Linked DNA regions of Oryctolagus cuniculus. The protein of the gene in region 1 interacts with the protein of each later gene in a pairwise test. Links are inferred from orthologs where the notes say so. Each region holds a gene or a part of one and is shown in the gene's direction. Other genes may lie near its edges. The genes, in order: SPRED1, PIH1D2, CDKN1A, CREB5, HPCAL4, IL16 and NCALD.

Evidence for each region.
Region 2: the proteins of SPRED1 (region 1) and PIH1D2 interact in binary tests that used the Homo sapiens proteins (3 or more experiments, as listed by UniProt). The link is inferred for Oryctolagus cuniculus from reciprocal best matches to the Homo sapiens genes SPRED1 and PIH1D2.
Region 3: the proteins of SPRED1 (region 1) and CDKN1A interact in binary tests that used the Homo sapiens proteins (3 or more experiments, as listed by UniProt). The link is inferred for Oryctolagus cuniculus from reciprocal best matches to the Homo sapiens genes SPRED1 and CDKN1A.
Region 4: the proteins of SPRED1 (region 1) and CREB5 interact in binary tests that used the Homo sapiens proteins (3 or more experiments, as listed by UniProt). The link is inferred for Oryctolagus cuniculus from reciprocal best matches to the Homo sapiens genes SPRED1 and CREB5.
Region 5: the proteins of SPRED1 (region 1) and HPCAL4 interact in binary tests that used the Homo sapiens proteins (3 or more experiments, as listed by UniProt). The link is inferred for Oryctolagus cuniculus from reciprocal best matches to the Homo sapiens genes SPRED1 and HPCAL4.
Region 6: the proteins of SPRED1 (region 1) and IL16 interact in binary tests that used the Homo sapiens proteins (3 or more experiments, as listed by UniProt). The link is inferred for Oryctolagus cuniculus from reciprocal best matches to the Homo sapiens genes SPRED1 and IL16.
Region 7: the proteins of SPRED1 (region 1) and NCALD interact in binary tests that used the Homo sapiens proteins (3 or more experiments, as listed by UniProt). The link is inferred for Oryctolagus cuniculus from reciprocal best matches to the Homo sapiens genes SPRED1 and NCALD.

What each region holds. Positions count from the first base shown.
Region 1 is NC_091443.1:61,319,299-61,323,837, forward strand, and holds the start of SPRED1 (sprouty-related, EVH1 domain-containing protein 1), read left to right. Parts: upstream 1-1,520; 5' UTR 1,521-1,622; coding exon 1,623-1,654; intron 1,655-4,539. UniProt on the Homo sapiens protein: Tyrosine kinase substrate that inhibits growth-factor-mediated activation of MAP kinase. Negatively regulates hematopoiesis of bone marrow.
Region 2 is NC_091432.1:104,017,243-104,021,761, reverse strand, and holds the start of PIH1D2 (PIH1 domain-containing protein 2), read left to right. Parts: upstream 1-1,513; 5' UTR 1,514-1,637; exon of another isoform or gene 1,638-2,200; intron 2,201-3,232; 5' UTR 3,233-3,260; coding exon 3,261-3,434; intron 3,435-4,038; coding exon 4,039-4,162; intron 4,163-4,507; coding exon 4,508-4,519.
Region 3 is NC_091436.1:132,896,682-132,901,027, reverse strand, and holds the start of CDKN1A (cyclin-dependent kinase inhibitor 1), read left to right. Parts: upstream 1-1,241; 5' UTR 1,242-1,364; intron 1,365-2,564; exon of another isoform or gene 2,565-2,691; intron 2,692-4,346. UniProt on the Homo sapiens protein: Plays an important role in controlling cell cycle progression and DNA damage-induced G2 arrest. Involved in p53/TP53 mediated inhibition of cellular proliferation in response to DNA damage.
Region 4 is NC_091447.1:19,973,510-19,977,930, forward strand, and holds the start of CREB5 (cyclic AMP-responsive element-binding protein 5), read left to right. Parts: upstream 1-1,542; 5' UTR 1,543-1,678; coding exon 1,679-1,681; intron 1,682-4,421. UniProt on the Homo sapiens protein: Binds to the cAMP response element and activates transcription.
Region 5 is NC_091438.1:133,188,471-133,192,304, forward strand, and holds part of HPCAL4 (hippocalcin-like protein 4), read left to right. Parts: intron 1-1,818; coding exon 1,819-2,016; 3' UTR 2,017-2,022; exon of another isoform or gene 2,023-2,620; 3' UTR 2,621-3,834. UniProt on the Homo sapiens protein: May be involved in the calcium-dependent regulation of rhodopsin phosphorylation.
Region 6 is NC_091443.1:103,876,973-103,880,806, reverse strand, and holds part of IL16 (pro-interleukin-16), read left to right. Parts: intron 1-1,591; coding exon 1,592-1,850; intron 1,851-2,083; coding exon 2,084-2,209; intron 2,210-3,834. UniProt on the Homo sapiens protein: Interleukin-16 stimulates a migratory response in CD4+ lymphocytes, monocytes, and eosinophils. Primes CD4+ T-cells for IL-2 and IL-15 responsiveness. Also induces T-lymphocyte expression of interleukin 2 receptor. Ligand for CD4.
Region 7 is NC_091437.1:127,452,332-127,456,781, reverse strand, and holds the start of NCALD (neurocalcin-delta), read left to right. Parts: upstream 1-1,396; 5' UTR 1,397-1,535; intron 1,536-4,450. UniProt on the Homo sapiens protein: May be involved in the calcium-dependent regulation of rhodopsin phosphorylation. Binds three calcium ions.

The sequences.
Region 1 (4,539 bases):
CACAGTCCCTGCCGGTAAAACCCCCCACTAACTAAAGATGAACTCTTGCCAGCTCCATTCTTTGCAAGGAAGGCGCACACACACACACACACACACACACAGAAGAGGGCCCTCTAGAATTTCCTCCCGGAACACACTATCTTTCCAGTCCGCTCGATCCAGCCACCCGGAGAGTGCAAGCCGAGTAACGGGGAGCAAGCAGCGCGCTGCAACAATGCGCCCTCGCTCGCAGCTCCCCTCGCGGCTCCCACCCCCGCCCCCTCCGCGGCGTGCCAAGAGTTTGGAGCGCGCGCACGCACACTGAGCGCGGCGCATGGCGTATCCCTCCGCCTCCCTCCTCCTCCTCCTCCTCCTCCTCCTCCTCTCCCCGCCCGAGCGGCTCGACAACGATTTGGGAAATGAAGGGAGGAGGGGACTACTTTCCTGAAACTTGCTATGCTGCACACGACTTCGAGTTGCAGTGATTCGCCCGCAGGCCGCAGCTTCTCAGTCCTCCCCTCCACACCTCCTCAGAGCCCAGGCTGCCCAGCTCGGCAGCCCCGCCCTGCGCCTGCTCTAGCCCCGCGGGAAGCCAGCGACCGGGAGAAGTCGCGAGGGACTACTTCGCCTCCTTCTCCCGCGGGCGCCCCCGGTTCGGGCAGCGGCGGCGGCGGCGGCGGCGGCGGAAGGAGCGGGCGGCGTGAGCGCTTCCGCCGCCCCCCTCGCGGCTCCCCTCTAGCGGGCGTGAGGTGCTGGCCCGCGGAGCCGCCGGTGGGCACGGGCTGGCGGGGGACCTGCGGCTGCTCCGCTCCCCTCCCGCTGCTCCTTGGCGCCTTGTCCCCCTTCCTCCCCGGCGCCCGCCCGCCGGCTCGCTCCTCTCTGGCCCGGGTGGGAGCCACCGGCCCGCCTGCCCCTCGCCTCCCGCTCCCCGCCACCCCTCCTCCCCCTCAGGAGGAGTCCCGGCTGGAGCGTGTCTGGAGGAATCCGCCGCCGTGGGGCCCCTCGCCCGTTTCTGTGCGTGCCTGATCAGCAGCGACCCAGGCGCCGCCGGGGTCTGAGCGGCAGCCCAGAGCGGCGAGGCGGGAGATGGTGGGGTGGGCTCCGGCGGGACCGCGCCGCCGCCCGCAGCCTGGGCTCGGTACTCCCCCGCCGGCCCCCACCGGGCGCAGCTCTTCTTCCTCCTCGCCGCATCCCTGAGGGAAGCGCCGCCTCTGCTCCCGGCTTCTCCGCCCGCCCGCCCGCTCCTTCCTGGCCGGACCCCGCGGCGCTCCACCCCGGCGGCCGGAGGAGCAGCTCTCCAGTCAGCCTTTGCAGTCCCCTTACCTTCTTTTTTTTTTTTTTTTCCCCCACCCCTACCTCCCCTCCCCTGGCCGCCTCGGATCCTTCGGCTGGGCGCTGAGGCAGGGGAAGAGGCTGGGGTCGCCACGGAGAAGGTTGCTGCCGCCACCCCCCTGCGGGGGTGGCCGGGGTTCCCGGCTGGGGGGGCACCGTTCCGGGTGAGGCATCCACCATGGTGAGGCCCCTGAGCCGCTGCGCCCGCGCCCCCCCGGCCGCCGCTGCCTCCTGCCCCTCGGTGCTGCTGCTGCTGCCCCCCTGCCTGCTGTTGCTCCTCCATCTCCAGATCGGATCGCGTTGAGGGAAAGATGAGCGAGGAGACGGCGACTTCTGACAACGAGTAAGCGCCTCATTGATCTTGATTGCTAATCCCCCACTCCCCAGTCATTCGTCTGCACTGCCCCAGACCCCTCGAGACTCGGGCGCCCGAAAGCCTGCGCCCCTGGAGAGTTCGGTGCGTCTGCTTCTGGATGTAACTGATTTCTTGAGCCATTTTATTTCATGGCAGCAGCCCTCCGCTCTCCCTGCGTTAACTTGCTTTCTGTCGGGGAAGGGGATTCAGATTCAGTGTTGGGTTGGGATGGCAGTTGTACATCCCTGAGATGGAGTAAGCGGACGGATCGGGACAGTAGCAGTGACCCCTCCGCCTGGGAGACCCTTGGCCTGTCCTCTTTCGTTTTATCGTCAGCCAACATATCTTGAATATATCCATCGTGCTTCCTGTCTGGCTATTTCACTGGGAAACTGATGTGTGGGAGCACCTCCTGTAGCAAACTGCTCTTGAATCTTAATTCGATGAGTCAATGACTCTTAAATACCTATTAAGCCTTCACCCCACCCCCACTCCCCCTTTTAAACTTGTGACCTGTGAGATTCCTGTAAAAAAATGGGGTTAGGGAAACATTTTTGGACTTTAATAGGATTAAGGACTCCTGGGGTGTGGGGGATGTCGAGCTGTTATGTTTACTTTTGGGAATATTGGACGTGTCTTCATCAAGAACATTGAAGAATTTGGAGTTCTAATTTTTGTCCTTGGGTTGTGTTAAAATACTCCGGTTTCCGTTAATTGAACAGAATTTTACGTTGCTTAACATGTTGGTGACTTCATCAACTTCTAGAGCATTCTGGCTTAAGTTTTGCTTATTTTGGGATGTCCCCATGTTTTCCAAACTATTTGCCTTTTTAAACATTTGACTTTAACGTAACAGCTGCCTGGAGGAATAATGGTGTTGGGCACGGTTTTCTATGGAGAAGGGTTTTAATTCCGTGCAGGATGTTAGCATCCGTTTCCTTGTCATTCAGTTTAAGTTTTGTTTGTCTTTGGCGGGTTGGAAAGAGTTAAGTGAGTTCGGACTAGCCTTTAGGATGCATTCCTCTAAATAAAGTGCATTCCTCAAGTCAGACCTTTTTGAGAAAAAGCTTTAAAAGTCCAATGCCGAGGTCTGTCGTACATGCCAAGTAGCGTCTACCCCCAACCCCCAACCCCCAACCCGCTTTAAGAGCACAAGCTTCTGATGTGCGGGTGTAGAAGGAGGTAGATTGCTGCAGTGTCAGTGCAGCCTAGAAGCAGAAGTGGCCGCCATGTTCTCTCGCTTTTTGTGAATCGCCCTCATTTGCATAGCACAGTCTTCATTCATAAAAAAAATAATTAAACATCTATCACCTTGGACATCTTGAAAGAATTTCCCAAGGAAAAATTCGAAGCTTGTTTGTCTGTCTTCGTGTAGCTGTTTGAGTTCAGGAAATAAGGAGAATTTGAAGTTTCAGATTAAATTTAAAAAACATACGCACACATAAACAACTACCCCTGTTCTCAGAATGTTGACACGGTTATGTGGGAAATATCAGTTCGGGGAGGTGCTGGGATCACGTGATCGCCTCCATTCATAAAATACCTGGCTGTCCATTCACAGTGCAGTACACTGTCTCACTGCCTTCCGCAGATTAGACTTACTTTGAGGGAGATCAAGAAGTCTATCTAAGATAATACTTGGTTAAGAGAAAAGCTGCTGAAAATACTGAACGCAATGACAGTAACTTTTATTAATCTTGCATGCAAGTAGCTCAATTCAAAAATGTTAAGTTTTATTTTACAGATGAGAAGGGATTTATCAGTTTAGTTCCAAGTGTTGAATATTTCTTGTGGCTTCAGATAATTGGACAGCAAATGATGGAATGTGAATTGACACAGGTGCTAAAATATGGTTACTAAATGAGTCCTTTTCTTGTACTGGGCATGGGTGTATTGAGAGTGCATAAGTTTTTTATGTGGTGATATCAGTGGATGCTACTGCTATTATACTAAAATGAGAAGATATTACCACTGAATTAATCTCCAAGATGTTGATGTTTGAAACACCAAATGGTAATTTTCACTGGGAGGATTGCTCTTTTTTTTTTTTTTTTAATTTTAAATGTATTTAGTATGTGATAACTTGGAAAATAACTCACCCAGATATTTACAGATCTGGTTTTACAAATTTATTCTGCTTTACTAGTAAATTATTACTTAGCTTTGTAGTACTATTAATTTCGGTAAGATAAGAATAATAGTTTTAAGTGTATAATAATTTATATACAGTATTAACTCTTTATAGAACAAAATCTTGCAGGTTTTACTTAGGAAAAAAACTTTTATTTTAGAAAATGGTGTGCTCTTTTGGTAATCAGTTTGGCCGGAGCTGACATTGTGTGCTTGTGTATTGGCTAAACCACAAAGAATGAACTTCTTTGGAATGAAGCTTTTAATCTGATAATTTATGTGTCTTTACTATATGAAATGTCTTGAAGTGCAAATTTATTATTTATAATATACATTATGAAGAAACAAAAGAGATATTATGGCAGAAACCCTAAAGGCTTTTGTATAGTTAGAATTGCCTTGAAGTAGGATTTTATTTGGGCCTTACACGTATTTTTTGTTTTTTTTTCTTCTGTCTCTTTAAGCCACTGTTTATAGGGATTTAATTACAGTAGAGTCTGTTATTAACACTCTTCAATGTTTCTTCTTTTCCACCTGATTCAACCTTTAAAACAAGTGTAAATCACCAATTTCTTGGAAACTGTTAACCTTTTCCAGAGTTATGATAAAATCTAGTAAGGCCTTTACAGACTATTTGAAATTAGAGGAATAGATAACGCCTAGAGGTTGATTGTATATATTTAATGAAGAATTAGCAGAGGATCTATTAATATGAAAGGCTTTGTTTTAAATTTTGCCAAACT
Region 2 (4,519 bases), on another chromosome or scaffold:
TTTTTTTTTTACAATATACATTCTTCATGAACTCTTTAAAGAACCCCTCATATGCATGGATTTCTCTCTCTTTTTTTGGCAACAAAGTAAACTTAGCTTTTAATTCCATCTTCCACTAACTTTCTGAAGTACTTTCATATAAAATGGCACAGTACTTGCATATAACCTATGACATCTCCTGTAGGCTTTAGAGCATCTCTAGATTTCTTCTAATACCTAATACAACATAAACGCCATGGAAATCATTATCATGCTATACTGTTTAGGGAATAATGAGAATAAAAGTCAGTACAGACAATTTTCCCCCCCAAATATTTTCATCCTGCTGTTCCTTGAATCCGAGAATGCAGAAACCGGTACCAAAGGCCAAATGTATAATATCTCCATTCTTATCTTCTAGATGAAGCTCCCTTCAAGTTCTAACTTGCCTCATGCAAACGACTATATATCAATGTCCAGATCAGATGTCAAATCTGGAACCCCAAAGTTTGCAATGAAGTAACACCCAGATTCGATAGCGTCAGAAACTACCCGTCTACAATTACAGAAACTGATGCCTTTTAGGCATGAAATGCAAGATGACCGAAATTTCTCCATTCGGGGCATCGTCAATCCTATTTTGTACAGAAGTTTCCTAAAACTAGATTAACAAGAATATTCACGTGTGTGGTCACCAGGGGTTTTGTGCGACCACCCCAACGCTCACTCACCCCTCGATCCTGAGGTAATCAGGCATCTTGTTAGTGTGAGACGAAGAACCACTCCATTACAAGATCTCCATCGACCCAGGAAGCCAAGGAGTCAGGGCTCAAAGGCAGCTCTGCAGCTTCACCCGAGTCCTTCGTGAAAACGGAGCCTTCCCACCGGTTACTCTGCCCTCACCCGTGGCCCAGGCCACGGCTGCCTCGCCCCAGCCCAGCCCGACAGGCAGATGTTTCTCCTGGCTGAGGCCGGAGGCTGCGCCGGCGCGGAACCCGGACCGCCCGGTTGACCGGGGCATCGCCCGCTGACGCTCCGCTGGAACGGACACCGGGGGTTGGGTTTCACTCCCCAGGAAAGAAGGGGGACGTTTTGGAGTGGTACGACCTTCCGTTGGGCCCCAGGAAGTGTCTACGGTGCCTGACGGGGCCTTTGGGGTTTCCAGGTAGAAGACAGAGAAAACACCCCCATCTTTGTCACCGGGATCCCTGTCCCCCAGCGGCCTTGGAGCTCCCGGTGACTCTCCCTATAAACTCCCTCCCCACACAAATACACACAAACACACCCATACCGTGCGCCGCAGCCTCGCGTGGCGGGGGTGGGGGGGAGGAGGCGGTCTGGGAGAAAAAGGAGGGGGCTTCCCTTTCAGGCCGGAAGCCGTGCTTGGGAGAAATTCTTCCCACCAACGGGAGCGGCGGCGACTCCCGCTGGGGAATTTCCTGGGCAGTCTAGGGGCCGACCCCTGCAGAAGGGAAGCAGGCCCTTTCTTGGAAGTCAAGTGAGTCCGGCTCAGCTAAAAAGTAAGCCGGACCTCAGAAGGGGAGATTCCGGAACTAGATGTAAACACTTTCCGCCTGGAGCTTCCCGGACCCAATTAGGTGTTGTACCCAGTCCGGTTACCCGGGAAACAAGTGTCGCGATTTGGGAACCGAGAAGAGGTGGGTTTGCGGACCTTAGGAATGATTGCCCGTTAATTGCATTTCCTATTTAGTCTAACACTAAGATAGTACTGGAAGACTCTAAACCTCTTGGGCTCTTTTCAGGGATGTTGTGGGACACCTCTCTGACGGGGGGTGGGGGGGTGGGGGGTGGGCGGGGCGAGGAGGGTCATCCCAAGACCTAGAGGAGTTACTCATAGGTCATCCAAGTGTTCCAGCTTCTCCGTAAAGTGGTTCTCACAATGACCCAAAGGAGAGAAGTATTCCTTCTTTAAGAGAAGAAAAAGAAGAAGAAGAAAAAAAACACCTGAGGCACTTTCGTACATTAATTACTGGAAGTCACACTGCTTGTAGGAGAGAGCTGAGATTGGAACCCGGGCCTTCTCTATCCACTAAAGGACTGAAATTCTGTGGTACTCACCCCTACACAATTCTGGCGATTTCACGTTTGAGGATGCACCATTCAGCCAATACTCAGGGTGTAGGAACAAGGCGATCACCAAGAAATCCAGACTTAAAGTGACTGCTTTGTTCCCTTGGGGTTTTTGACGGTCCAAGTGGAGGTAAGGCCCTATCTGAGAGGACAACTGGAGCACTTTGTAAAGGCTACTAACCAATGACAGAATAAGGAAAACATTTGGGGCTTGCCTGTTAAGTTGCTGTCTGCGATGCCGGCATCCCATATGAACACTGGTTAGAGTTCAGTCCCGGCTGTGGCACTTCCTATCCAGCTCAGACCCAGATAGAGTTCCAGGCTCCTGCCTTCTGTCTGGCCCAGACCGGGCTATTGGGGCCATTTGGGGAGTGAACCAGTTGATAGATCTCTCAGCTGCCTTTCAAATAAAATAAATTACAAAACAAAACAAAACAAAACACGGGGCCAGCACTGTGCCTAGCATCTTAAAGCCCCAGCCTGCAGCGGGAACGGGTTTGAGTCCCAGCTGCTTCACTTCCAATCCAGCTCCTTTGCTAATGTACCTGGGAAAGCAGATGACTCTGCACCCACGTGGGAGACCCCAAAGAAGCTCCAGGCTCCTGGCTTTAGATGTGCTCAGCTCCAGCATTTGTGGCCATTTGGGGGAGTGAACAAGTGGATGGAAGACCTCTCTAACTCTTAAATAAGTCTTTAAAAAAAAATACGTAGGGCCATTGCTGTGGCGTAGCGGGTTAAAGCCCTGGCCTGAAGTGCCAGCATCCCATATGGGCGCCGGTTCTAGTCCGCGCTGCTCCTCTTCCAATCCAGCTCTGCTGTGGCCTGGGAAAGTCCTTGGGCCCCTACACCTGTGTGGGAGATCTGGAAGAAGCTCCTGGCTCCCGGCTTCTGATCAGCGCAGCTCCAGCCATTGCAGCCATCTAGGGAGTGAACCAGCAGATGGAAGACCTATATCCCTCTATAGCTCTCTCTGTAACTCTTTCAAATAAATAAATCCTTTAAAAATAAACAAATAGGTAAAAAATAAAGTGTTGATAATACACTGTTTTAAAACAGGTGGAAAGGAAAGCTGATGGTTTCTTAAAAACAATTTTTAACGAGGAAGAGGAAAATAATCAAATTACACAGACTTTTTGTCCCTTAAGTCATTGTCTTTCCACAGGCTTGAGAGGCCTCTCTTGCCATCAATCATGACATCATCAGAGGGTCTGCTCACCCAGCTTACACAATTCTGGAACCTTCTTGATGATCTTGCTGAAAGTGATCCTGAGCGCTATAATAAATTCATCCAACAGGAGCTGCGGGAGGGGCAGCGGCTGTGTGCTGGACCAGAACCAAAGCTCTGTCTACAAACCAGGATTCTGGTATGTAAAGTTAGTGCCAGGGATGAGGAAGTCTTGAGTAAAATGGTTGGAATAATAGGAGAATACTTTACCCATTAGCTGTAGCTACTTCAATGCAAGGACATTTGAAGGAAATCATCTCTCTAAATAAAAAATGAAACATAATGTGGAATATTTTGCTGAAGAGTAAGAATTGGAAATTCATTCATGATATATTTTGGACATCATTCATGAAGTATTTTGGACGTCTCAAAATTAGATACTTTTTCCTGCTAGAATAAAAAGAAAAGGTAATAGAGTGATTTAGTAGAGAATCATGGAGTTGGGTGCTTTTTCAGATAAAGGAATTATTTGGTTGGCAAGGTAGGAAATGGTAAAATAGGGACAAATGCACCTGGAACAACTGCTTGGGTCAGTTCTCCCTGAGGACCACTTCCTCTAGGAGCAGCAGTTGGGTTCCTGATGAAAAGTCAGCAGCTTTGGGGAATCAGGTAGCTATAATTTCTCACAGTTTTAAAATGTGGAATGACTAAAATCCCTCTTCTGAGTTGCTTTTAGGATACTGTCTTTAAATTAAAAAAAAAACAACTAAGTTTTGACATATGCAAAATTATCTGCTTTCTAGAAACCAAAAGAAAAATTACTTTTTATCAATCTATGTCAGTGGGAAAGGATCCCAGCTCCCCAGTCAACCACTCATCCAGTACCACTACGTCTTGGCCGACCAGAAGACGTCTCTGAAACATCAGGTACAATGAATTAAGGGAGAAAAGGCACATTTAAAATATTTTATTGCAAATAAGCATTTCAGGTAAAATATTTTATTTCATGGAAATATGATGACAAATTAGTGCACCTTTATGCAAATTTAATATTGTTCATTTTTTCTAATATGAACTATTTTAACCCATATAAAAATGCCAATGAATCCCTTTATTAGACTTCTGTATATAGCACCACTGTGATTACCTCTGAAAAATACAGAAATAGAATTTATATTCCAGTTTTATCAGGAATATGGTTTAATCTACTCCCTGATACTAATACCATTAGTGAAACAAGTTACCTTCATTTCAAACCCTCTGAATACACAGATGCTTATACAG
Region 3 (4,346 bases), on another chromosome or scaffold:
TGGACACTTCCGGATGCCCCTATCAAAGGCTCCTCAGTGAGCTGCTTGGAAGTGATGGCCAGCGGACCTTTCCCTCATCCTGGGCCACAGAAACACACGGGGACCACAGTGTGGTCCCGGCAGGAGGCAAAAGGCCAGCATTGCCACCAGAGCCAGCTTGGGGGCGGGGGGAGGTCTAGCCCCAGAACTGGGTGAGCGGTGGGGGCTGCTCTAGTGAACTCACCAAATTTGCTCTGGGGAGGGGGAGGCGGCTGTAGTGGGGTGCAGATTGGCTCAGGGTCTGACTTCTCCCTTTCTTCTGGAGGTCAGCTTGACCCTTTCTGAAGAGTCCCCGATGCCTCCTTCCCTGGTGCATTTGATAAACAGCAAATGTGCCTACTTCATTTTCTACAAAAGCAATTTACTTATGTTTATTTGAAAAACAAAGGAAGATTGACAGAGAGATCTCCCATTCCCTGGTTCATTCCCCAAAGACCTGCACCAGCTGGGATTGGGTCAGGTTGAAGCCAGGAACCAGGAACCCCATGTGGGTCTCCCATGGGGCCGGCAGGGACCCAGGTCCTTCAGCCATCACCTGCTGCCTCCCAGGGCCTGCATTAATTATCTGGAAGCTGGGATTGGAAGCAGAGCTGGGACTGGAACCCTGACATTGCACCCAGGTGGGATGTGGCCATCCCCAAGAGAGTCTTAACCACCTGTGCCAAGGGCCCACCACAACATTGCAGGTTCTGCGGGCCTCGGTTCGCTCCTCTGTGAAATGACGGGGTGTACGCCTGGCACAGGTGCTTCTGGGAGGGGGCTCAGCGGGAATATAGTGGGGGCGTTTCTGAACATTGCCAAGACAGGCACATCATTTTTACTATTTATAATTTTTTAAAAAAATTAATGTCATCCCTTCTGATCTGTTTTCTGCACCAGGGAAATCCTTGTCCAGAGTCGGCTAGCACGGGGGCAGAAAGGGGCCTCATCCTGTCGCCCCTGCCTCTCCCTGGCAGTGCCAACCGCCCCCCTGCCCCGACTTAAAAAATTCAGACTTGCGGCTCAGTTCGCGAGGAAACGAACGCAGGCGCCGGCCGTGGGAGGAGGGCGCGCCCGCCCGCAGCACGCGAGGCTCCCGGGCCGGCAGTCCCGTTGGAGCTCGGCCAGGCTTCCTCAAGGACCAGCGCGCGCGCGGGTACCGCCCGGCCCCGGCTGCGAGGTGGGCCGAGCACCGGGGCCCGCCTCGAGAGGCGGGCCGGGGCGGGGCGGCGGCTATATCAGGGCCTGGCCGAGCGGCGCCCGCCGAGGTGTGGGCAGCCGCAGAGCCAGTCCTCGGAGAGCCAGAGGCGGGCGCCGAGTCACGAAGACACCGAGACACAGAGAAGGTGAGGCTGCGGCAGCCGAGCCCCGGCGGCAGCTCGGAGCGGAGCCCGGCGTGTCCGCGTGTGGCTGTCGCGGGGACCCGCGGCCGCCGAGCGCGGCGTGTTCACAGATGGTTCCGTGGCAGGTGGACGACTGCGTGGGTCCGGGCGCGCTCGCAGGGGCGCGCGTGCCGGGGGGCGGGACGCGCCGGGGACTCCGGGTGGACAGCGGAGCCAGAGCACCAGGGATCCCCGCCCGCGCGCGGCTCCCCTCGAAACCCAGCTGGGGCGAGGGGAGGCGTGGATGTAGCAGCCCGGGAGCTCGCTCGCGTCGTGGGGACGAAGCCACTGGCTCCAGGAGGGGCGGGGGACGCAGAGTGGCACCAGTTTATTTGGGGTCGGTGCTGGGGCGGGTCTCGGATGCTGGTTCCCGAGTCCAGTGCCCCTTCATTGCCGCGCCCGCCAGCCGGCGGGGCTCTGAGGTCAGCGCCGGCTGTGTCCCTGGCCCTCGGGAACTTGCCAGGACACGTCCCCTGAGGACGAGGGAGGCGGTGACTCACTGTGACAAGGAGACCCCGGGGCATGGACCCAAGCTCCGTCCCCCGCCCCGCCGCAGACTCAGTCCCCCCCAGTCGGCACAGTGACCTGTTTGGCCGGCACGGCATGTTCCCAGGGAAGCCGGGACACTCAGAGGTCCAGGAGCGGGTGTCCGGTCCCCACTCCGCGGCGCACCATCGGGAACCTGGAGGGGGACGGGCCGTCGCAGGGGTTCCACCCACGGCTTCCCCGCCGCGACTTGGAGGACCCCGGCCCAGCCTGCCCTTGGGCCCGGCCCTGGAGCCCCGGGCGAGAGCGGAGCTCGGTACCGCCGAGCAGTGGGACGCGCCGCCCCCAAGCTCGGGGCCAGGGGACCGTCAGGAGGGGTCGCATCGCGGCCGGGTGGGGCTTCTGGGGGCGGGGGGCGCGGCTGCCTTGCGCGCGGGCGGGGCGCCCGACCTGGGCTGAGCGCAGCAGGGGGTGGGGGTGCGCTCAGGCACGGGCTCGGGCAGCGGCCCCTCGCGCGCCCCCCGCCGCGGGCGCTCCGAGACCCTGCGGCCGGACCGGGCCCTCGGGGGCGCCGAGACTCCTTCCTCCCAGGTTCCCGCCCTCCACGTCGCGGTTCGGGGAGGACTTTCGAGCGGTTTTGTTTTCTTTGCGGCCGTCTATTTTTATTTTCCAGGGATCTGACTCATCCCGTGCTTTGGGCGTGGAGATAAGGTGGAGGGGCCAGGTCCCGGCGCGCCTGTGCATGCGCAGGGGCCGCGCGCGTCTCCGAGTCCGCCGCCCCGGAGTGTCCGTGCGCGCGCGTGGGGTCTGTGTCTCTCAATGTGCCTACCCGTGCGTCTGCGGCTGTGTCGGTCTCTGCGTGTCTACCTGTCGGCGCGCCCCTGCGTGTGTGTGTGTGTGTGTGTGTGTGTGTGTGTGTGTGTGAGTCGAGTGTGCGGACGGCTCAGCGTGACGTGTTTGCGGCGCGGGCCCCTCCTGCCCTCCCCGCCTCGGGTGACGCGAGGCCGGAGTGGAAGCGAAGTCCCGGCGGGCGGGAGCGCGGGGCAGGAAACTGACTCATCACGGCCGCTCCCGGCGCCCGGGCCCTGCCCACGCACCGCCCTCCGACGCGGAGTACCCTGGGGCCCGGCGCCCCCTGCCGGCCCCGGCGCGAAGGGCCAGCCAGCCCCGCGAGCCCGGGGCGCCGCTCGCAGCCTCCCCCCACCACCCAGGCAGCGCCCCACGGCCGTGGGCTCTACAGCACTTACTGAGCCCCTACGATTCACTGGCCAGCTGGGGGCTGAAGCCTGAGGCATCCCCGGGGAGGTTCCCCTCGGTGGCCTGGGGAGGAGAGACCCAGGAGAGGACAGCGCTGGTGGGAGGGGGCGGTCCCGCCCCCCGCCCTCGCCCATGGGGCACCCACGCAGCGTCCTTGTCAGACCCACCAGTGTGTTCCCCTCTTGGCTGGCACCTCAAGAGGGCCTAGCTGGGTGACGGTGCCAAACACCGACTTAAATCCCCTTCTGTTTGAACTGAGTCGCTCGGGTGGGGATAGGGGGTCGATGCAGATTTCTAAAAAGTGCCCCCCAACCGTGGGGATTCTGGTGGGCCTCAGAACTGGGGAAGGGGGCCAGGAACCCAGGATGACCGCTTGCGGGCCTCGATTCAGTGACTACCCCAGCCTTGGTCCCCACTTCTCTGTAAAGGAGCTCATTCAAATCCAGTTTTTTGGAGGATGGCTGTGCCCTGGAGAGGGTGGACAGCGGTTACCGGAGCCCTTTGCGGCTGCTGCCCTGTGGGACCTGTTTGGGGGGCAGTGGCCTTTTGCCTTTCTAGCTGTGCGGTTTGGGATGCAAGTCTCATCTCGTAAAGCAGCTGCCCTTTGAACTTGGCCTGAGGTCACTGGGTGACTTTCCTCTCCAGCCAGCTGCATGGTGGAGCTAGGGGCTGTGCTCAGGGTGGGAGGGGCCGTGGGGTAGGTGTGGCAGGTGTGGCTTCAGCAGAGCTGTCCCCCCCAGAGCCTGTGAATCTGGTCCTGTCCCCAGGAAAAGCTGGAGTCAGGCCAGAGCAGGGCGCCCTCGCGAGCAGACTCCCCCTCACTTTTCCGGAGTGGGAGGTGTGCAGCCTGGGTGGACCAGCCATCTTTCATGTCCATTGCCCACAAAACGGGTTTCTTGGAGGCAGGCAGGGCTGTGAAGGGTCCAGACTTTGGCTCACCTGGTGTGCCTGGCAGGATGTGGCTCAGCCGGGGGAGAGACCGCCACCCCGCCCCACCTTCCCCCGAGGCCACCCACCTGATGCCATCCTTGGGAAAGGCCCCCAGCCTACGGCACCTGTCAGCTGCCGTCTGGAGGGGGAGAGGCAGGGAGGAGGCCCAGCCAGAGCTGCAGGCACAGAGGCGTCCTAACACCACGGTCTTCTCAGCGCCTTGGCCAGGTGCTGCCCAAGCATGTCCCCCACCTCTGAGACTGTTGCTGTCAC
Region 4 (4,421 bases), on another chromosome or scaffold:
CCGGGACGCTCTGGGTCCCGGGGTCACTCTGGAGAGCGCCGCCCCCGCCGCGAGCAGGGCGCCGGTCCCCGGCAGCACCCTGGGCGCCGAGCCGGGGAGGCCGGGACGCGGGGCTGGGGCTGCACCAAGTTTGGCTGAGAACAGCAAGATGAGCCCTTTCTTTTCCAAAGCGAGGCCGAGCGCGCCGTGGCGTGCAGAGGACCGCGCGACAAATCGCCGCGCGCGTTGCGAAGTTTGCGCGTTTAAAGCGGTGAACGCCCAAGTCTTGGAACGGAGAGTCAGTCTCCGTCTCTGGCAGCTGAGACAGGACCCCTGTGCGTGACTTGTTCGAGGGCTCCAAGTGAAAAGAACCTTCTGGGAGGGGGCGGGGACGTAGATGTGCAGCAAAAACTCACACACACACACACACACACACACAATTACCAAGAGGAATTAGGAGGGACGGGGAGAACGCGCTCTGATGTGGAGTCTGTGCAAACCAGCAGAAGCCGAGGTTGTCTTCTGCATCTGGGGCACCCTCCTGGTGACCCCGCGTTTCGTTAGCAGCCTTGATTCGCTTCTGAGCGAAAGCGGTGCTTGGGGGGGGGGGTAGGCGTGGGTGCGACTCCGGGCCGCGTTCTCACTCCTGTTCGTGGCGCCGTTTGTGACTGATGCTGGGACAGAGACGCAATCGTATGCCCCCCGCACAATACACGCGCGTCGAAAATGTTCAATTTCTTGTTTGTGATGCATAGAGCTAGAGGGAAAAACGGCCCGGGTCACAGGCACTGGAGGGTGTGATTAATGATCAGTGATTTAGTGATCAGTGATTAGTGGTTTTATTCAAACTGTTACCTCTGACCAGAAGCACACATCAGAGGATTAACAGGCTCTTTAGATGAATGCTCATTAGTGGAAGGGGAAAAGCAAAGATAATAGGCATGCACCCAGGGACAACTTTCGAAGAAAATCATTCCCTTCCTCAGAATAATAAGCTCTATTAACAGAAAGCCCTTTTAATTTAAAACTTGCTTTTATCTTGTAAATCAAAGTTAGATGTAAAAGTTTGTAGTGCCATTATAACCTAAACTTTCCCATATCCACTCGATGTGGATTATCTCCGTAGCGATATTTTTTTTTTATTTAAATAAACAATTGGACCTTTAGAGCGGCTGACATGCTCTGAGCTCCCGGGGTGCGAAGGTGTCCCCCCTCCCCCCCGCCCCCCGGCATGGAGATTGTTGCTTGCTAACTAGATGGCGCACTGCTATTTGGTGTTCTGCGCTGCACAGTGTAGGAGCCTCAACTGAGCGTGTAGCTGCTTGCGAGGTGCTCCGCGCCCACAAAGTTGCTTCTGTGCAAGGTTGGAGGCTAGACAGTTCTACAAGTTTGTAGTCACATTTTCCATGTCCGTTAAATCTAGGGAGTTCGAGGCTACTGGAAAAATTAGTCTCATTACTGAGAGTTAGAGAGCGAGGCAGGGAAGGAGGTCCCTCTAAGTGAGTGGTAGGAGTGATTGTAAAAACCCCAAACCTGCTCTGTCTACAGAGAGCTGGTTTCACAATCTTCTCCTCTGAAATACTGAGGCGGGTACTCAGACTGATTTTCTTCCCGATCTTGCTGGTGAGAAAGAGAAGTTGCTAGAAAGAAACTTGGAGACTGCAGGAAGCAACACGTGGCTGGTTTTCTTCTGCAGATAATGGTAAGGTGATGTTGATTACGCTTGGGAAGCTGCGAAAAAACTTTGCACTTGGTCCGATAGTCGCACTCTCGTTATTTTCACAGATTGCAGAAATGGAATTCTTATTTTGTGCAGAATTTTGATGTTGCTTTTGTCAGTTTCCTGGGACTTGTAGCATTTGGTGTGGTGTGTAAGGTTGTGCATGTGTGAATAAGAGAATTATTTATGGAGTAAAATATGTTCATGAGCATGTATGTGGACTACAATGGAGTGGCGGGGAGGCACCGTAAGTCATGTGTTAGGTAAGACTCCCTTTTTCGGGAGCTTTCATGAGTCACTTCCAAAAGTAATGAAGTTTTGATAAGAAAGGAGTGCTTTAAAAAGAAAACTAAAAAATCAACAAAAACAATGGAAGATATTTTCTACCTCCAAACCTAGACCCCTGTGATCCTGAGGAAGGATGCTTGACTGTGTATCAGCTCTTCCGTTAGTTTTAAGACTTAAAAACAAACAAAGGAACTCACTTGTGTCTCCCCATAAATTGACTTATTTTCCTTTGCTTTTCCATTTTATAAGGACTCATGACTTTAAAAATGCTTACTGAATCACATAGGTTTTGATTTTTCAGCTTTCCTTGGAGTAGACATGTTTGCTCCGTTGATAGTACCTCCATTTCAGCTGTTTTTGCATGTTAATTGCTGGTAGCTACAGATGGCTTGTCAATTGTAAGTCAGTTGTGCCTTTACAGGCTTGATACCTGAGTTTTCCTACAAAGCGGGAGAAACCAGGCCTTTATTTCTCCATCTCTGAGACTTTGCAGCTTCTCTTTGAAGAGGTGGTAGCTCCATGGTTCTGTCAGATCCCTTCTCTCCTGAGTTCTCACTGGGACTGACTTTCAGCAACCATTCCTCTCCATTCTGCAGTATTTCCTTAGCCAGGGAGGTATCTTCTTAGGAAGCAGAAAGTTATTCTGCTAGCATGTGATGTTTGCTTGCTGCATCGCCAACATGTGAACTTTGTCTTTAAGTTTTATCATTGGATTAAAATTGGGATGTGAGTGCACTTGCTCTTTTTGTCTTTTTTTTTTTTTTTTTTTTTTTTTTGTCTTCTTCACTTCAAAGCAATGCCGTTAGTCACAGAATTAATGTGATCATGGCTGGTGTTTCCCATCTATATGCTTCTTACAAATTGGATTTCTTCAGCAATTTAAGATCTTTTTTTAGAGGCAGCTTTCTTGGATGAAGATGGAACAATGATCTCAGTCAATTCATTATCTTGTCCAGTTTGACTACAGGAATCCACCAATGCTTCTATACATTAGTGTTTAAAGATTTAAATCTAGGACTATTTCTTTGAATTCTACTTTACAAAGTTATGCAATTGAGATAAGGTAATAAAGGGGGGGCAGTAGCTTCCAATATTAAATGTGAGAAATACGCATTTCCAGATATGTGGCACAGATTTAAAAAACCTTTTTGTGTTGCTATTTGTAAACCAAATAAGCGATCTATTTTGCGGCAGTGTTTTCAATAGGAAGTCTGGCACTTTAAAATGACATCATGGTTAATGTTTTCATGAAAGAGTTATTACATTTTGTAATTAGGAAAAAAAATGGGCAATTAGTGTTTTTTGAGCATCCATTAGTATTCCATTGTTGGGAATCACAAATCATGGATTTAACATAAGAAAATCTAAAACGAGACAGCAAGCTTTTAGAATGTGCAGTTCGTGGTAACGTGCTTCCAGAAACACGGGGAAAGTTCGTGCAGCCCTTACTGAGGCTTCTCTGGTTTTCAGAGAACATAGAGTTTAGGATAAATTTCTGAACATATATTACATTGACATTTTCATATTTCTTCCTCCATGTTCACTCTGGTTTCCCTTTTCTCATCTGAGAAATAGATCAGGATCAATTTATCACTTTAGAAATACATATTGCCACTTCTCCTATTTCCCTAAGGGTCACATTTCTAATCTCCACCCTGGAATGAGCGAGGAGTGAATGTTCCCCCCCTTGATGTTTGCCTTGCACTGGTCTTGGGGAGGGAGAAGGGGTCCTTTGGGCCTGGAGATCCTGCCAGTGAAATCAAAGGGCGGGGAGACCCTTCTGTCAATGCCACCTCTTCCCTTATAGAGAAGACCCCCAGGTTTGCGGGTGTCCCCTGGCTCACCCAAGGCACGCAGCTGGGGACCTTGCCTCCACGCTGGGCTCCGTTTTCAGGAGCCAAACTACCATGGTCGCCACGGTCACAAGTGGAGCTTAACCCATGGCTTTGAATGCTCTGCTCTTTTCATGTCTTTTGCAATCAACCTTTCAATGGCGCTTTTTTTTTTTTTAATCAGAACTTGTGAATGGATGCCTTGATCACATCATTGCAATTTCTATCCCACTTATGTATTAACTGCCACGTTACTTTTTCTAATGTAGTCCTCCCAAATTGACCATAACTTAATTTCTTTTTTTCTTTTTCTTCACTACTATTACTAAAATTGAAAATTATGCTGTCCAGATTTCCTCTGAGAGCAAAGCTAGTAGGACTAAAAATAAGCTGAAACCATCTCAGATGAAGGCAGGAATTTCATCATCTTTAAAAAAAGGATCTGAAAAATCATTTTCAAACCCAAGAAATACTTTTATGTTATAGAGCAACAAAAACTGTTTTCACTCTAGCAGGTGTGTTTTGCCCAGAACCAATCTGTCATATATTATCTTCCCGGGTCAGCATATATGAGAATGCTTGGAGGTGGACGTTATTATCTG
Region 5 (3,834 bases), on another chromosome or scaffold:
TTCCTGCTTTCATGGGACATTCTTTCTAGTGAAAGAGAGAGAGAGAGAGAGAGAGAGAGAGAGAGAGAGATCTGCCATCTGCTGGTTCATTCCCCAAATACCAAAGCCAGGAGCTGGGAACTCCATCCGGGTCTCCCACATGAGCCTAACTACTTGAGCTGTTGTCTGCTGCCTCCAGGAATACACACTACCAGGAAGCTGAAATCAGGAATGCATCCAGGACTCTAACCCAGGCACTCCAATGTGGGAAGCAGGGGTCCCAAGGGGAATCATAGCTGCTGTGCTGAGTGCCCACCCTCTAGTGAGAAATTTACCATCAATAAGCCTATGCCATTTCAGCCAGTCAGTGCTAGGGAGGAGATAAGCTTAATCCTCCGCCTAGCGGCGCCGGCACACCGGGTTCTAGTCCCGGTCGGGGCGCCGGATTCTGTCCCGGTTGTCCCTCTTCCAAGCCAGCCCTCTGCTGTGGCCCGGGAGTGCAGTGGAGGATGGCCCAGGTGCTTGGGCCCTGCACCCCATGGGAGACCAGGAAAAGCACCTGGCTCCTGGCTCCTGCCATCGGATCAGCGCGGTGCGCCGGCCGCAGCGCGCCGGCCGTAGCGCGCCGGCCGCGGCGGCCATTGGAGGGTGAACCAACGGCAAAGGAAGACCTTTCTCTCTGTCTCTCTCTCTCACTGTCCACTCTGCCTGTCAAAAATAAAAAAATAAAAAAATAAAATTAAAAAAGGAGATAAGCCATGCAAAAGAAAGAGAATGGTGCAGAAGTTATTCTACATAAGGTGAAAAGAGTGTAGAGCAGCTGACCCCTGCGTGGGGTGGGGGGAGGGCCTTCTGTGATGAGGGGCCAACAGACTTAGGGTGGACTGTGTTTGTATTGTGCAGAGAGGGGCTGGGAGGCCAAGGTGGTTGGAGAGAAGTGAGTGAGGGGACAGCGATAGGAAAGGTGAGGAGATGGGGAGCCAGGAACCCAATCTCTGTGCATCTTGTGGACCAGGTGGAGACTTTGAATTTGTTCCGAGTGACGTGGGGAGCTCTTCAGTGATGGCTCTAGATGATGGGGGAGGGGAAGGGAGAGAGCAGCAGAAGCAGAATGACCAGTTAGGAGATGTCCAGATAGTCAGTCACGAGCTGGTGGGGGGCTACAATCTCAGAGGTATAGTGGAAACAGTAGGAAGTGGTTGGTTTGGAATCCATTGAAAAATTAGAGCCAGCAAGATTTGCTGAATGGTTGCATGTAGAGTGTGATGGGGAGCAGAGTCAAGAATTGTATCCGGGCTGGTGCTGTGGCGTAGCGGGTAAAGCTATTGCCTGCAGAGCCGGCATCCCATATAGGTGCCGATTCGACTGTCCTGGGTGCTTCACTCTCCACTTCCGATCCAGCTCCCTGCTGATGCACCTGGGGAAGCAGTAGAAGATGGCCAAAGTGCTTGGGCCCCTGCACCCATGTGGGAGACCCAGAAGAAGCCAGGGCACAGCCAGGCCAAAACCAGGAGCTGGGAATTCAATCCAGGTCTCCCTCATGGGTGACAAGGACCCAAGTACTTGAGCAGTTACCTTCTAAGGCACGCATAAGCAGAAAGCTGGGATCAGGAGCAAGACTGGGACTCACACTCAGACACTGCCATGTGGGAAGCAGGCATTGCCAGCAGGGTTTTACTTGCTAGGCTGAATGCCAGTCCCAGATATCCAGCCTTAATTACCGCCCGGTATCCTCACCTTCCCCCAGTGCTCTCCCCGCCCTGCCCTGCTCCCTCTCATTCACCTCCCAATCCTCAACACCCCTTGTGGGCACACCCACCTCTCTCCTCACCCCACCAGGCTATCTACAAGATGGTGGGCACTGTGATCATGATGCGCATGAACCAGGACGGGCTCACACCCCAGCAGCGCGTGGACAAGATCTTCAAGAAGATGGACCAGGATAAGGACGACCAGATTACCCTGGAGGAGTTCAAGGAGGCAGCCAAGAGCGACCCGTCCATTGTGCTGCTGCTGCAGTGCGACATGCAGAAGTAGAGGCTGGTGAGGGGCAGGGCCCCTGGCCGTGGGGGGCATGGCCGCCTCCCTACCTGATGACCTCTCTGGCTGGTCCTTACCCTGGGGGAGGGGCACTCCAGCCTCACTCTCTGGCCCACTCCCTCCTCTCTGCCCAAGCCCTCCTTCCCCTCAGTCAAAAGATCCTTGGGGGCCCACGTCGCCGTGCTAAAAAGCAGACAGGGCCTCAGGTGTCCTGTCATTTATCCCCACCCCCCAGCCTTGGCCCAGAACCAACATCCCTTGGGCAAGGGGGCTTGGCTTTTGCCCCAAGAGGCAGGGTTAGGGAGGGGGACTGGGGTCCTGCTTTGAGATTCTGCTGTTCCTGGGATATGCTTTGTAGAATGTGGTCTCGCAGGCCCCACTCCAAGAGTCAGATTGGGTGTGTCCTTTCCTGGGGACCCAGAACCCTCGATGGTGGTCTGTGTCCTGCTCTCTCAATGCTGCCTGGCCCCTCTGGCCCCAGCCTTTGGAGCAGCTCTTCAGTTCTTTCTTCAGCTAAAGTTTCTTGAGCACTTGCTCAGTGCCAGGCACCTCCAGGTGCTAAGGATAATGGCAGTTTACCTGACGCAGTCCTGGCCCCCAGGAGGCTCCAGAGGTGGACTTCCGGTGATCAGAGTCTCCCGCAGCGATGGTGGGATGGCGAGCACAGCAGAGCCGAGGGCATGCAGAGGCTGGCGAGTTTGAGAGGAACTTCAAATCTTCCAGCTCAGCTCCACACAAAGCTGCAAAAGAGGGCCAGAAAAGTGTTGGCAAGTTCAGGAGAAATCTGAGTGGACATTTTAAGAAAAATGAAAATTTACATAATAGTTATTTTTTTATTACCCTTTAAAAGAGCTAAAGTCATTTTATGAGTTTAGGATGTTAAAATATACTCTATATTATTTGGTTTCTTATAAAATGATTAAATAAATGTAGAAAATTATAATCGTGGGGGGAAACCTGAGAAAACAGAAGGAAATACTATCAAACTCACCAGAAAATGCTTTCTCTTGTCAGGCAAAGCCCTGAGCTGTCACCATCAGCAGCTTTGTGCTGCTTCTGCTTCCTTTTTATCACCTTTGCCAAGTCCACAAGGGACCCTCTATCACACACTTACTCTGGTCGGGTGCTGACTTCAGGAACAGGAAAAGCAAGGTTTGCCAAGAGTGAGACAAATGCGTGGCCCGGGTCTCGGTGCTTCACTTCTGGGTTTGGTTGCATTTCAGGAATGAGCTTGTTCTTTCACTACTACAGATGCAGAAAGAGGTAGAGGTCAAGGACCACCTAGGCACCGGTCAAGGCTCCCAGGCTGCATTTATGGACCAAATACCTAAAAATGGGCTGGGCATGCTCCATTTGAAAGGCTTTTTCTAACCCCCATCCTACATCTGCCAGGTAACTCATCATCTTCCAAATGTGCTGGCTTCGCTTTCCAGTTTTGCATCCGTGAGCCATACATCTGCATGCTTTGACTGCCAGAAAAAGTCATTTTGCCTCTTCAGCAAGTCTTTCACTTCACTTTCTCCTGTACTTGTGATCAGAAATTAGCTTTGATGTGCCGTGACAGTTGACTTTCTCTTGAACTGCGGGTGAAAACACACAGGTGCTGGCAGCCCAGGGTGGGAGGAAGGAGTGATTGCTGACGTGGGGTACAGGGAGGCAGGGACTGCATCTGCGGGAGAGAGACTCAGTGTACTCCTCACTACTGAGTGCTCACCAGTCCTGCTTCTCTGCAGGTGGAAAGTCTTGGGGATGCTGCATTGGACCTTGAGGTACCAAGACCACTAGGTTGCCACTCTTTCTGTCCTGCTTGTGTCA
Region 6 (3,834 bases), about 43 Mb from region 1:
CACCAAGGAGTGGGCATGGCGGTGCAGCGGGTTAAATCACCACTTGGGATGGCGGCCTATATCGGAATGCCTGGTTTGGGTCCTGGCTATTCCTCTTCCAACCCAGATTCCTGCTAATGCAGTCTGGGAGGCAGCCGATAATGACCCAAGTGCTTGGGTTCCTACGGCCCGTGTAAGAGACCTGGATGGAGTTCCAGGCTCCTGGCTTTGGCCTGGCCCAGCCCTGGCTGTTGCATGCATTTGGGGAGTGAACCAGTGAATGAAGGCTTGCTCGCTTGCTCTCTCTCTCTCTCTCCTCTCTTCTCCTCTCCTCTCTCTCTGTAGAACTCTGATTTTCCAGTAAATTAAAATAAATAAACATTAAAAAAGAAAGCCCCCATCCCCCCTGGTAATGGTAACTTAGCACATTTCTGGTAGTCAGTCCAGAGCAAACACACACCAGCAGGAGCTCCCTTATTTCTGGGTCAGCTTCTCTACTGCACAAGAGACTGTGAGTGCAGAAGAACCATTTCTGTTGCTGAGTGCATAGCTGGGTGTGACAGAAGGGCTCCTGGCTGGGCGCTTCCCCTCTGCTCACAGAGAACACGGTCTGCTGGTGGGACCCACACTCCGGGTCTTCTTCTCTACCCATGGGCAGTGACGTCTCCACCCCAGGTGGGGGGGGGGTGCCCTCCCCTGAGACACTGCAGCTGCTGGGCCCCGGAGCCAGGAGGAAGTGACACTTGGCGGCCAAGCACACGCACACACAGGACTTCCGCTTTCTCTTTCTCTTCCTTTCCAGACTCATTAAAGGAGACTTAGGTGGCGCCCCCTGCAGGCCTGGAGAAGCTTCCCCCACGTTAGGTGGAGGCATCCATAGTGCCTGCACTGCTTCTAAGAGCAGGCACCGGGATGCAGGCGCGGGGCTTCCAGCCTGGGCCTCCTCGCCACCTCTCAGAGCTTTCCTAACACCGAAGCCATTCAGAGAGAGCAAGATCCTTGTTCAGGTCATGGCAGGGAGCAGAATGACCCAGAGCACATTCTGGAACCTGCCCATGCGTCCTGTCGTTCAGCCCTCTGAATGGCAGGGACCCGGCTTGGACAAGGTCTAGACGCCCTAAGCAGGTGTCTCTCAAAACGCATTCTGCGGAAGCCGGGGCCCGAGCATTTCCCTGGGAACCCCCGTCCTGTGCGGCCTGTCCCTGGGGCTCCGACGTGGCCAGTTGCCTGGCAGAACTGGACATTTTCAGAGCTTTGGTTTAACCCTGCGTCCTGCGGGTTTCTGGTTTTAGAAACCGGTTCTCACACACCACCTACCAATACACCACTGAATGGAGATGTCAAGAAGACTGCTTTGGGAAGGGCTGGTGGGGGAAAGTAAGGCAAAGGAAACCAGATGGGAAGCCAGCGGAGACACCCGCAGGCATGGGAGGGAGAGGATCCTGGGCTCTGGGTGGAGGAGGGGAAGGGATGCTGGCCCCGGAGCCTGCAGTGCTGACCCAGGACGGCGTCAGGTGCTGTGTGCCCTCTGGGGCTGACCGGCTCAGGTCTCCCTCCTCCTGCAGTCTGGCCTGGCTGGTTGCTGGGCCCTGAGCGCTCCTGCTCTGCTTAGGTTCACAGAGTGTTTCCAAACGGGCTAGCCTCCCAGGAAGGCACCATTCAGAAGGGCAATGAGGTTCTTTCCATCAACGGCAAGTCCCTCAAGGGGACCACGCACAACGACGCCCTGGCCATCCTCCGCCAAGCGCGAGACCCACGGCAAGCAGTGATTGTCACAAGGAGGCCGGCTCCGGAGGCCTCGCCTGGCCTGAGCCCCTCCAGTGACTCTGCGGCAGCACCCTCTGCAGCCAGCGATGTCCCTGCAGAATCCGGTGAGTTCTCCCAACTCAGCAGGTACGGGGGATGGGAGGATGCGTCAGAGGCAGTCCTGGGGGCTGCCCGGTCCTCTGTGGCCCTGGCGACATGTGTCCCACCTCAACTGTGGCCACGATGCATGCCACTGCTTGCCTAGGGGCCCAGGACGGCAGGCAGCATCCCCCAGGCTCGGTGCCATGGCCCTGGGAGAGAGGGGCGGGTCTCTAACCAAGCCCTGTGGTTTCCCCAGCAACGGAGGCTGCCATCTGCACCGTGACCTTGGAGAAGACCTCAGCAGGGCTGGGCTTCAGCCTGGAAGGTGGGAGGGGCTCGCTGCGTGGAGACAAGCCCATCACCATCAACCGGATCTTCAAAGGTGCGCGTCTGGCTCGAGCTGTGGCCATGGGAACAGGTCCCAGAGTGGCCTGGGTGGTCTCTCCACCACCTCCACCCAATGTGAGAGGCGAATGGGCCTATTGAGTGAGGGCCAATTCTGCCTTTTCACACTTTCCTCCTTTGCTCGGGTACCCTCTGAACCCCTCTGCTTTGTGGGGTCCTCCTAGTGACTGAGCCCTGGGCTTGGTTCAGCTCAGCAGGGCTGGGACTGGAGTGAGGCAGGCACGAGAAAAGCGGAAGTGGGTTTCAAAGCGCACAGAAGTCGAGATCAGTACAATTTCGAGGCAACATTTTTTTTAAAAGGATTTATTTTTATTTGAAAGGCAGATTGAGAGAGAGAGAGAGAGAGAGAGAGAGAAATATCTTCCATCCACTCATTTATTCCCCCAAATGGCTGCAATGGCCAAAGCCAGGAGCCAGAAACTCCATGTGGGTGCCAGGGCCAAGTGCTTGGCCCTCTTCTGCTGCCTTCCCAGGAGCATTTGCAGGGAGCAGAGCAGCTGGGATTCGGGTTGGGATGCTGGCATGGCAGGCAGTGGCTTAACCCACTGGGCCATCACGCCAGCCCCTCGAGTCAATATTTTAAAAACTCAAAAATGAATTTTTAAAGTCCATAGTGAACAAAATATTTAGGTAGAGTCAGCCTTCCTTGGTCCTGGATTGGCCTTCACTGAAAATGTTGACACTTTGTTCACGATTGGGGTGCAAACCAGTGCCTTTCCCCTGGAAATCATGTGCCACCTGCAGCCATTGTGGGAAACCGCCCCTCCCCCGACCCCTGGCTGCTCCTCAGGCTGGAAGCCCCCAAGGCCCATGCAAGGGGTTGTGGACACAGGGACACTGGGTGGGGAGTCCAGGGGTCAGGGGCCAGGCCCCTGCTGTTGTCTCTAACAGGCTCAGTGACCTTAGCACTCCAGGCCCAAGGCTCCTCAACCAAAACAAGGGGCCAAGGGGCACGGGTGCAGCTGGTGGCTCTCAAAACTGGGACCCAAAAGGGCCTCCTGCTCCCTGTGCCCCACAAGCTCTGGCACAGGACCGGGTTTGTTGTTGGAGGAACCGTCTTTGACATGGAGGCCCAGAGGGAAGCCTGGGGTGGATACAGTGGTTCCCCTAGAACCCATGTCCCCAGTGGAAGATAGTTCTGATTTTGAAGTTGGGTTTGGAATGATCTTGTTAGTTCCAAAGTCAGAAGACCTGGACTGCAGCTGATTCTGCCATCGTTGGCACCATGACCTTGGGTTAAGTCTCAACAGCATCCTGGGCCCATTTGCTTAGATGGGGAAGCCCCCACCTGCTGCAGGTGGTGTGGTACCAAGAGATGGCCTCAGGGAACAGGAAGGCTGAGTTCACACCCAGGCCCTGCCACCTAGCACGGAGATGAGCGATGGAGGTTGTTGGTGCAGAACACGGCACAACGCCCGCGATAACAACCGCCCAAGACACCCGCGCCGCAAGTCCTGACTGCCATCACCTTATACTCTTGCTCAGTGTTGGTGTCAGACAGACAGGAAACTCCCTGTCGGCATCCACAACAAAACAGCGCGGCTTGCCCAGGAGGCCGGGGAAGAGCAGGTGCCGCTCACCAGGGCCCAGGTCCCCTCTCCA
Region 7 (4,450 bases), on another chromosome or scaffold:
CTACCCTCGCTTTATAGGAACCCTGGCACCAGCTCACTGCCTGGAGAGAGGCATCAATACACCCAAGAGCACTCCGCCCCTACGTCCCAAACACGGGCCCCACCTCCCACCACCACTGCTGCGCTGAGGGATTAAGGTTCTGCCTGGGAGCTTTGGGGAGACCGCCTGCCTGGACCTTCCCATGCTTCCAAACTTCAGGTTCACGCTCCTAGTTCCTCCAGCTCTCTTGAGGACCGGCTCACCCCAGGGTGATTTCCAACTCTGGCTGCTCATCAGAATCTGCTGGGACCTAGGTAGAAGGCCCTCATTCATGCATGGCTGCAGCCCTGAACAGTGCAGCGAAATGAGAATCTCTGGGGATGAGACCCAGGCGTCATATTTAACACACACACACACCAAACAAAACCAACATCCCCAGGAGATTCAGTTGTGTGTCCAGGCAGGCAAAGCACCAGGCTCACCTGCTATGGCTTTCAGCTCTGATGATTCGGTCTAGTGACTTGTGAGATAATTGCTGTTTTCCAGTTGATGTCAGCCAGCAGAGGTAGGGAAGGGCAGTTTTGGGTAGATAAACCTTTTAGTTGACGCTCAGATTAGGGTTGGTGGCCGTTTGGACTCACCTGTCAATTCTACGACAGGTCCCATGAAAAGATTTTTGCAATCATTCTAAAAGCGTGGTCATGGTGCCTTTATAGCTGCCACTTCGTAAGTGGATGAAGATGAGTGGCCATGGAGTCCTTCTGAGGGTTCTGGAAATGTCTCTGGGGTCGAGGCGCACAGGTTGCAGTGGCTTTTTGAGAGGCTGAGCCTGGCAGACACCTAGGCCAGGAGCACGCGCTGGCCGCCTGCAGGCACTCAGTACACACTGGCGAAGAAACCGTGAAGACACTGGCTTCTCATCAGTCCCAGTCGAGGTGAAAAGTGCCACACTCCGCAGTGGGCAATGGGGACAGGGGAGCGGACCCCTCGGACGGGTGGTGAAACACTGGTTAGAGCAGAGCAGCCCCCTTCTAGCTTGCGGGCTTGGTGGTGCAGGGGACGGTGCGGAAGAGGCTTTTGCGTTGTGTTCCAAGATCACCTAGAACTTCACCGCGGGGTGTCAAGCCCCCTCCCCCCCAGTTTCCGAAGCTCCGAAGGGGATGCTCTAGGTTGACCGCCCCACGACCCCAGCAGGCAAGCCGATGGCACCCTTGGAAAGCACCGCTGCAGCCTGACCAAAAGCCTGGGCGGTGGGCTGCGATCAGGCGGCACATGCAGCATAAGCCGGTGGCTGCACCGTGGCACAGTGGGGAGTCCACGGCACCTGCGATCCCCGCGTCTCGGCTTGGCACCCCCTTGCAGCCCGGGGCGTGCCTCCTGCAGAGCCTCAGTGGGGAGGGGACGGCGGCGGACAGGAGGGAGGTGGCGAGCCGAGCTGGGGCTGGGGGCGCGGCTGGCGGCCGCGCTGTCCAGGGGGAGGCGGGCGGAGGGAAGGCGCTGCCGCTGCGGCCGCCGCCTCGCCCGCGGCGACACAGACGCCGGGAGCGGCGGACGCGGTGAGTCGCAGGGCTTCCCTCCGCCGCTCGGGAGCCCGAGCCGAGTCGGAGCTGCGGCCGGGGCGGGGGCACCGGGGGCGGCGGCGCGGGGAGCCGCTGCTGGGGTGGGATCCGCGCGCGCTCCCCGCGGGCGCAGGGGTGGGCGCTGGGAGCGCGCGGAGCTGGGAGCCCTCCCGGGTGCAGCTCACCCTGGCGAGTCCCGTGTCTGTCTGCTCACCCTCGAGTGCCTGGGAGGGAAAGCATAGCGCAACCAGAGCACCGGCCGCGGCACGGGCAGAGCAACTTTGCCGGGGCTCGCGGGGCAGGCGGGGCGGGGGCGCGTGGGGTCGGAAGGGGGCGTCGGTGAGCCCGGTGGTCCGCGGCCCTCCGAAGCATCCCTTCCGTGCGGCTGATGGGGGGTGTTGAGGGTCGTGGGCAGCCGCTGGATTCCGGGCTCGGCCCCGGGAAGCCGCGGGACGCAGGCGCGAGGGGTGGGCGTGTGGGGAGGGGGCTTTGGGAGCGGCCGACAGGCGCTGGCTGAACCCGGTGAAGGCAAAGATCTGCATTCGGGACTTGGGACCGGAAAGACCTGCGTCGGTGGCCCGGGGGGGCCTCGGCGAGGGTGTGCCGGCGAGATGTGTCGGAGTGTTTTGCAGTGCATACCGATGTATTTTTAGCTCCGAGAGAAGCAGGATGTGCAAAGTGGGTTGTATCCGCGCGGGAGGGGCAGGAGGTCTCCCTGCGCGCAGGAAATCGCACACAAGTTTCTTGCTGCCCGATGCCTGCTGGAACTTGGCGGCCGCCTGCGGGCCTCCGGGGCCGGCTCGGGGTCTTCCTGCGGGTGGGTGGGGAGTCCGCGGCCACGCGCGCGGCTGTCAGCCGCAGACGGAAGCGCGCGCTCCGATCGGTGCGGTGGCGGGCGAGTCTTGGCCGTCTGAGACGGACACCACGCGGGCTTGCTTTTAGGTTTTCCCAGTTCGGACTCATTGGAAAAATAACAGACCCAAGCCCCTGAGTTAGCGAGAGCGGGGCTCGCCGGCAGGGATGGTTCCGACCTCTCCGGCGCTCACCGGCCAGGCCCCCGGAGGGTTTCCCTCCGATGGGAAGGTGCCTGTGTTTTTATGGCGCGGGGCAGAGATGCCAGGACTACCAAGGGGGAGGGGAGGGGGCCGAGGACGGATGTGGGGAGGAGCCGCAGAGGAGGCGGCCCAGGAAACTGAAACGCAGGTGTTCAGGTACCCAAGCCAGGGCCCTGGACGTTCCTTGGAGGCTCCCCTGTGAGCCGCTCTGTGAAGACCTCTTGTCCATGCCCGTGGGGAGAGTCGCTAGGGTGGCCGCTGGGGATGTGGGCGCTGCTTGCGGGGAGCTGCCAGACCCCCTGGTGCTTCCTTCCTGACCCTCTTTTGTCTCCTGCTCTGTGGCGGGAGGTCCTGGAGAGGTGCCCGCCCCGCATCTCTGCCGCCCCAGGGGGTTGTGAGGATTAAACGAGTTAATACACCCGAAAGCACCAAACCTCATGCGCTGTCTTTAGAAGGTGCTGCCGCGGTGCCAGCGAGCGAGCCTTTCTTCTTACTATTTCCATTTTTACTTATCTGAAAGGCAGCGAGACAGGAACAAAGAGAGATCTTCTCTGTCAGCTGATTCCCTCCCCAAATGTCTGCAACAGCCAGGGCTGGGGTCAGGCTGCAGCCAGAAGCCCAGAACTCCATCTGGGTCAACCACATGGACAGCAGGAGATCAAGTACTGGAGGCACCGCCCGCTGCCTCCCAGGGCTCGCATTAGCAGGAAGCTGGAGTCAGAACCCGAGCTAGGGCTCAAAGGCAGACACTCCACGTGGGACGCATGCGTCTTAACACTGCACCAGATGCCTGCTCTCTTGATTGTTATCTTTGCTGCTGTCCTGTGTTCCTGTCCGGCCAGTTCCTGCTGTCAGCGGGCTGGTTCCTAGCCTCATCATCGCCTGCATTGCTGCCACTGCCTTCAACAGGCCTCGTGGCTCCCACGTCCTGGCCCCATCTATTGCATGACACTTGTTCTGAAAGCAAAATCCAGGCCTATCATGGCGCCTGGTTTCCTTTCCAGGTTTTTGGTGCCGATCCCGGGCTCGCCTCCTCCTCGGCCTCGCCTCCCGTTTCTCCCCACGGGGAGCCTCCTGCTCAAGCTGCAGACTCTCAGAACCTGTCGTCTCTTGGGCATCTCAGTTGCAGCAATGTCACCTTCCAGCAGATCCCCGGGCTTGCTCCTCCCCAGCCAGCTGAGTTGTCCCCAACCTCACATAGCCATGGTGTTTCACGCACAGCTCCCTGCATTGCCATCTGTCAATCGTCCAACCTGCATGTGCTTTGAGTGACGGCTTCTGTTGTGGGTAAATGTTTGTTGAGTGAATAAGTGATTATCAGTCAGAGTGTTCCATCGTTTTCACTAAAGCCAGAATCAAACATGAAGAATAATAGAGCAGGCAGTAAAGGAGGCGAGAAATACTCAGGGCTCAAGGGTTGGCCCGAAGAAATGAGGCTCCTCTCTTGGAGCTAATTCCGGGGTGGCCCTTTAACCGTGCGGGGCAGACTAAAACAATGGAGAATGTAGTGACTGGCACCTGCCTCTTTCCTTCCTTCCCTCATAAAAAGGCAGTGCAGCTTGGCTGGGGGCCGGGGGTGGAGCTGCAGCCCTTGAAGGGGTTTGTGCGGTGAACTTGGTGTGGAAGCGCTGGGCAAGGTCACAACACCCACAGGGCAAGTCACAGCAACACCCACAGGCTCCATAGCTCTTCCTTGGCTTGTCGCTTCCCCGAGCGTAGCTCTCAGCCGTGTCGCCAGGACAGCGAGCCTCTGTGGTCAGTGCTCCCCTGCTTCTTTTCAGGTCTTGGTGTGTGTTCCGCGGGTGCTTCTCTGGCCCGGGTGGTGTTTCCAAGCCGCTCCATGCCTGGGCTCCCAGG